2 linked regions of the Arabidopsis thaliana genome follow. The main gene of each other region encodes a partner of the protein of the gene in region 2 in a complex. Each region holds a gene or a part of one and is shown on either strand. Other genes may lie near its edges.

The links. The genes of interacting proteins can lie anywhere in the genome.
Region 1: RPS17 (region 2) and PSRP3/1 share a complex: the UniProt entries of both Arabidopsis thaliana proteins name them as parts of the 30S ribosomal subunit.

The regions. Positions count from the first base shown.
Region 1 is NC_003070.9:25,756,573-25,760,026, forward strand, and holds PSRP3/1 (Ribosomal protein PSRP-3/Ycf65), read right to left. Parts: upstream 1,840-3,454; 5' UTR 1,598-1,839; coding exon 1,373-1,597; intron 1,297-1,372; coding exon 1,021-1,296; 3' UTR 855-1,020; downstream 1-854. Other genes in the region: AT1G68585 (uncharacterized protein), read left to right, coding at 339-452, 532-613, 700-854; AT1G68600 (aluminum activated malate transporter family protein), read left to right, coding at 3,375-3,454. UniProt on the Arabidopsis thaliana protein: Component of the chloroplast ribosome (chloro-ribosome), a dedicated translation machinery responsible for the synthesis of chloroplast genome-encoded proteins, including proteins of the transcription and translation machinery and components of the photosynthetic apparatus.
Region 2 is NC_003070.9:30,040,428-30,044,029, forward strand, and holds RPS17 (ribosomal protein S17), read right to left. Parts: upstream 1,526-3,602; 5' UTR 1,496-1,525; coding exon 1,046-1,495; 3' UTR 816-1,045; downstream 1-815. Other genes in the region: GL2 (HD-ZIP IV family of homeobox-leucine zipper protein with lipid-binding START domain-containing protein), read left to right, coding at 46-132, 206-586; ROPGEF12 (RHO guanyl-nucleotide exchange factor 12), read right to left, coding at 1,745-2,407, 2,507-2,770, 2,877-2,951, 3,037-3,191, 3,275-3,602. UniProt on the Arabidopsis thaliana protein: One of the primary rRNA binding proteins, it binds specifically to the 5'-end of 16S ribosomal RNA. Required for optimal plastid performance in terms of photosynthesis and growth. Required for the translation of plastid mRNAs.

The sequences.
Region 1 (3,454 bases), 4.3 Mb from region 2:
AGCCAAAAGAACTTGACTTTCTTACTCAGATTAATGGACACTAAGTCATGGATCCAAAGCATATATTATATCTCTATTGTGTGTTAACATGTCTCTTGAGTCTCTAAACTTAGTTTTCTCCAAAGATTAAAGCAAAAGCAAAGATGGGCTTCCTCTGTCACTAGTTTTGCTAACTCATCCTTTTCGGATAGCGACACTCTTCGTTTCCCACTCTTGGTTTGGTGGTTTCTTTAGGATTCTAGATTTTTGTTTTACTTATCTTTCCTTGTACAAGAGACTGTTTCTATAGGATTCTTCATTTCCTGTTTTATCTATCTTCTCTGTGCAACGAGAGTGTCATGGCTACTCTGTCTCAAATCGTCGAGGAGGAACTTGAACCATCACTAAGAAGCAAGCTTTCAAGAACAAGTGAAACCAGTCTCGCTTCTGTCGCATCGTTATCCATGCCACTTGTTCGTTACTCTCTTAACACTTTTGTCTTAGAATGATTCAACTCTGTGGATTCTTTTAATTGATCTTGTGTGTTATCAGATTCAGGAGATTGTTCTATCAGCAGACATCAGATGTAGTGACTGCCAAGAGAAAGTCGCCGACATAATGGCGAGGATGATCGGTGAGTATATAGCTTACTTACTTCCGAGATGAGACACTTTTTTGTTCTTTCCTCTCACGCTTGTTTCCTCTGTTTTCTTGGAGCAGAAACATATTCAATATTGGTGAGTGTGTTGGAGAAGAAAGTGACACTAACGTGTACATATTCCGGTGACCGGAGAGTCTCTAAATCCTATGGTGAAGCTCTTCTCTGCAAAATCTCAACCATCAAGCGTTTGATATGTCCTTCAAGGAAACAATAACTCAGAGTTGCTTGATGTTTGCTTTTATTATCATTTTCTCTTTCCAATAAAATGAATCTTTTATGTCGAATGTGATTGGATATTGTTTAGATAAACAAAAAACTCTCAATAGCAATAATAATCATAGACAAAGTGAATTCTTGAAATGCAGAAATCAAAAAAGAGATTATTGAGAAGTTAAATTGCCGCCACTTTGTTGCCAGAGATTGATGATATCAGTGGCTTGGTTTAGAAGAATGATCATCTTCTTCTGAGAGATCCATGGTTTAGCTTCAAGAGTAGACTTAAGCTCTTCCCAAGCATCTTTCCTAGGCCAGAAGAAGTAAGGACTAAGTGGGATTGTGCCATGTCCAGGTACATGTTGGTCCAATCCTAATCCTATGTTCTTCTCCATCCACACAAACTTGAGTACCACTCTTGATTTCTCATCTGGCTTCACCACCTAACACAAACAACAAAGATTTGTGGGTTTTGTAACACAAGAGACAAGAAGATGAAGAAGAATATGTTGTTTTTACCTTTATTGTTTGTTGTGGAGTGTTGTCGGAAGTATCAATTCCGGTGACTGTTTCAGCGGTGAGTGTCTCTGGAGCTGCTAGAGTTATGATTTTCCGTTTTACAGAGATGGGTTTGGTTGTTTGGGTATGGAACAATGGAGGAGAAGCAGTGATGGAGAGTTTTGGATGTTGAGAGATGAAAGAAGAGCAGAGGGAAGTAGAAGAGAGTGCCATTGATGACATCATTTTTGTGTTTTCTCAGAGAACAATGGAGATTTTGTGAGAATATGGATAAGGAAGATATGGTCACATTTTTGGGTGGAGTTTCAAAGTAGTTTGACTATCAAATTTATGGGCTTTGTTGACTTGGCCCATCATTAAATGGGTCAAGAATACAGAGTTTATTATAAGCCCATGAATACAAACCTGAAGCTTTGAGAAGTAGACTTTTAAAAATACAGACTCTGTTTCAAGTATTTTCGAGGGACTAATTCAAAGATCTCAACATATAAGTATTAATCATATCATATTTAATTCGAATGACATTTGACAGCCACAAGTATTTATACAAAAATTAAAAACCTCATCTTTGTTTAGTGTTCATGATTTGATCAAAGTCAATAAATTTTTTTGTGTGAAATAAATTTTTGTATTAATCAAAACACAATTTTTAACAAAATATAATTATCGATATTGTACGCTGCAAGATGTCCTCAATTTGTTTTATTTATTTATCAAAAACAAATAATTGTTGAGAAAGTGGCCTTTACATTATATATGTCACATGATTCTTTTTACATTATGTCACATGATTCATCTTAAAAAATCGTCTTCTTTATTTTCACAGGTTTGCTGAGGCCAAAGAAGAGTCTTTCTTTGGACTTGAAGTAGCACTGGATAGATGAGATGAGAAAGCCTTTAAGGAGAAAGACACCATGATGGTCATTCATGAACATCATTCGATGAGTATATATAGTAAAAGTTTGAAATACTTCTTACATCGTAGTTATTATATAATGTGCACACGATATTTTTTATTTTCAGCATACAATAATTGGATAAAACAATCAAACTCACCCAAAATACATAAATAATTGTTGTTTCTCAAAAAAAAGTAGGAAAAATCTCATGTGAGGGTGGGTACACTGTGTAGGGTAGGGCTTGGCTTTTGAGCATAGTTAGGAAGTAGTAAGATGCGATGCGGTAGTAAGTAGGAGTTTCAAAATGTCACATTCACACAAGTCACGACCATGAAACTTGTCGTCTCTTTGATACTTGCAACTTCTCCAAAACTGTGGGTCTGTAATTCAATTATTAGAGTCTTGAACTTGAAGAGACTTTAAGATATGTGTGTAAATTTGTTCACCGTCACATTATTGGTCCATTTACATTACACACGTCCACTATAGTTAATTCTCAGGTTGTTTATCCATAGATATCTGTTGTTATTTCTGCGACACTTTTACTGGTCACAATGAATTATGTTGATGTTTAGATTCAACAAAAAAACTTACTAAATCGGGTAACTATGAAAAAATATTATGTAGCTGAGCCAAAAAGGTAAAGTCTACAGTTTAAGAAACATTAACACATTGAACAGAAATTAAGAAATAATATAATTCTATTTTTAATTTTTTTACTGAATAACTAATAGTCACAAAAAATCATATTACGGCCTTACCGGTCCATTTATGCATTACTGGTCCACAAATGTAAATTCTCACGTTTTAAATTCCATCTGTTTCAAAAAATTTGGACACTTTTGGTGGTTAATATGTTAATGATTAGATTTCAACCAAAAACATCAAAGTTATAAATCGGACAATTATTAAAATTTGTAATGTAGATGCACCAAATTGTAAATTTTTTAAAAAAACTTGATTATTTAGAGATGATGAATCGAAGGCATGCATTAATTGCGTAGTACAAAACAAATCTTGATAAATAGATAAATAAACATCTTTCTATTCGTAAGGACGACAAGAATCTCTCAGGTTCTGTAGAATTGTCAGAATCATTTCTAATGGGAGGTAAAATGGGATCAGTACCGGAGCAAAACACAGAGAAGCTTCTCTGGCAGTCAAGCGACGTCGCTGATAGCCG
Region 2 (3,602 bases):
AAGCGGTTTCCACTCATATATTTATCTAACGATACATATCATCAGTGGGATGCTTTGTCAAACGGAGCTCATGTTCAGTCTATTGCAAACTTATCCAAGGGACAAGACAGAGGCAACTCAGTGGCAATCCAGGTGCGTTTATTTTGTCTTCTCCTCCTCTAAATCTGTCTAGGCCTTGATAATCTGAATTTCTATACATTTCCAGACAGTGAAATCGAGAGAAAAGAGCATATGGGTGCTGCAAGACAGCAGCACTAACTCGTATGAGTCGGTGGTGGTATACGCTCCCGTAGATATAAACACGACACAGCTGGTGCTCGCGGGACATGATCCAAGCAACATCCAAATCCTCCCCTCTGGATTCTCAATCATACCTGATGGAGTAGAGTCACGGCCACTGGTAATAACGTCTACACAAGACGACAGAAACAGCCAAGGAGGGTCGCTCCTGACACTCGCCCTCCAAACCCTCATCAACCCTTCTCCTGCAGCAAAGCTGAATATGGAGTCTGTGGAATCCGTGACAAACCTCGTCTCAGTCACACTACACAACATTAAGAGAAGTCTACAAATCGAAGATTGCTGATGACAAGTCACAGCAGATATTATTTACCTATATATAATTATATGATAATGTATAGCAGCAGTGCATTAAAGTTTTGTACAAAAACGACCAGCTCTCTCTTCTCCAATCCTATTATTATCCAACACCTTTTTGGTCCATTCCATTGGCAAATGAACCATAACAAGAGGAGCAAGAACCGTAGAATTAGCAGAAACAAAAGTCGGATCACTGAGACCACAAGCACACAGTAGCAACAGAAACATATTAATTCACATTCTAAATGTAACTGGAGGTGAAGATGAAGTAAGAGCAAACAATTGGTAGTCGGAAACAATCAGATTGAAAACACACTCATGGCATAAGCAATGAAATCACAAAAGCATTCCATAAATTACACTGGTTCCGGGATACACAACAAACAAACAGAAGCAGAGCAAAAAAAAGACGGCTTTACCAAAAGAAACAAAGAGCAATCATTCTCTACGCCGGCTGCTGAGACTCCAAGGGAAGGCCAAGGAGTTCATCTCCTCCGGCTTCGGCTTTCCTGGCGGCCCTTGCGATGACAGGAAGCGCCACAAATGATTTAGTCTTACTGATGGGTCTGCTCTTTTCCAGTCTGACCACGTCGCCAACCTTGAACTGATTATCGGGGTCGTGAGCTTGGTACTTCTTCTTCATCCTCACGCGCCTCTTGTACTTGGGGTGGGGAGCCAGCCTCACCACCTCCACCGCCACAGTCTTGTCACTGGTTGCGCACACCACGCGCCCCTGCATCGTTTTCATGGCTCTGATGACCGGAACTAAAGCGGGCATTCTGTGGTTCGGGAAGGAATTGGGCTTAGAGAGAGATGAGAGAGGAGTGGAGCCATGGGCGAACGGAGACGAAAGCTTGAGAGCTTGCAGAGATGAGGTTAGGGACGACGTTATCATCCTTCCGATTTGGAATCGAATCGATGAAAATGAAGATAAGGTGAGTACTACTACTATTTAGAAGGGATGTATACAGTATACAGATGGTAAATGGGTTTTACAATAAACTGGGCCTAATCTTAAAAGCCCACCTTTTCATAAAAAGGAATTTACAAAAGCCCTTTTGTAAAGTTTTTGAATCCTAAAAATAATTAAATAATCAATAAATCTGTCTTCGCTCTTTTTTGCGCCTAATTTTCCACACAAATATCAATGCCGTGCCGTTGGACTCTTGACACCGCCTAGGGTTTCGAGGTATGAGGTCTTCTTGGTCGTGACGACGCTTAGCTTCTCCTTTATCAACGGATCATCCGGTAGATCCTTCTTCGACTCCAATTCGGCGTTCGCGGCCTGATCGAAGTCCCATCCCATGAAATCCGACAGCGTCATGCTCCCAACCAGCGTCTCTTCCTCTGCTTCCAATGGCGTGTTCCTCTTGTTCCCCGCTCGATCTGCCTCTAAAACGTCATCGATTCTGGAAAGTACCGTGTAGGCCAAGCTTTCCAGTATTCTCGAGTAGCTCTCCAGCACCGCCTGGCCCACGTCCTCGTTGAACTGGATTTTGCTGATGTCGAGTGAAGATTGAGAAATCCCGGGGTATCTTTGCTTGAGAATGAGCAAAATGGTCTCAGCTCGCTCTTCGAAGACCTCTCGCTTCTCCAGACTTACTCCGGAGGCCCAGGGTGCCGATGATTTGTTGTCTTTATAAACCATTTTGCGTTTCCATATAATGATTGATGCCTCGATTCTGTTTTTGAGGTCCACGATCTTGTGCTCCGACGACATGTCCATGCTGCTCAGGAACTGGTCCGGGTCAAAGAAGTCCACCGTTATATTCTTGTACATCTGATCCCCGAGACTCGCCCTCCCGTTCTGTTTATTTATTTATTACAAACTAAACAAGTGAGTATTATTCTTCATCAACTCTTCTAATCAATAACATCAATTGTTGGTGTCTTTTTTTTTTTTTACCTTTGGGAGAGAGTCGATGTAGCTCTCAGGTATCTCCATCTCGAACAAAACCTGTGCGTTTATGGCCATGGCTGCCTTTAGAACCTGGTTTACACAATCTTTCTGGTACTGCAAAAACCTTCTTGAAGCTTCTGATAGACCATCTGGTGGAACTTTGACGGTCGGAATCCACCATTTTTCGTCGTTTCTCTTACCGTCTAAGTCAGGGGAGTCTTTTGAGATATAGCTGAACTCGCTTTGGTCCTTGAAATTTTCTAGACAATCCTAGGTAGAAAAGGGGGATAAGAGGATGCTTTTGAATATCCTAAATGAAATTATTAAAGTAGGGTTGATATTTGGTCAACGAGAGAGAGAGAGAGAGAGGTCTTACGATGAGCATGGCGTCCAGTTTCTTCAATGCGGGGATATTCATGTGGAGGTCAGTACGTTGGCGTGTGGTCATTATCTGTTAAATCAATACCAACAGAATAAGGGAATCATTGTATGTTACCAAATGAAATATAATGCAGCAGCAGCAGCAGATAGACAACCTCCATATTGGTCCCATCTTTATTTTTCTGCTGAGATGGAGCAAACTCAACCACGTAATCGGTCACGGAGAGAAGCCAATCAATCTCTTTTCTCCATCTTGCTCTTCTTTCTGCAGGCATTGGCTCCAAGCGCCGTTGCTCTCCGAACACGGAAGCTATACCAACAAGATAAACATGAGATATTGGTTGCTGGTTAATATAAACTAAGTGTAATAACAAAAGAGGGTCCTAAAGCAACCTGCAAGGTTTGTGATTGCGTTTGAAAGGGCGAGAGCAGAGGATACTCCTTTGCCTCCACCGGAATTGTCCTCTCCCAGCAACAGCTTGGAGAAGCGCTCTTTCATCTGCTCCATGTCTGCCAAAAGCTGCCTTTCTCTAGCCTGTGAGGCGGCGAGGGCGGCGAGGACTGCTTCATCCGCAGCCGATCTTGAAAGTGGTGGACCCTGACTAGGATGAATAATGGTCAATGGTTCAGCGTCATGGGATCCGGTGGCAGCCTCATCTAAACCGGTCTCGACGCTGAGACTCTTGTTGTGTCTCGTAGCACTATTGTTGTCGTTGTTCCT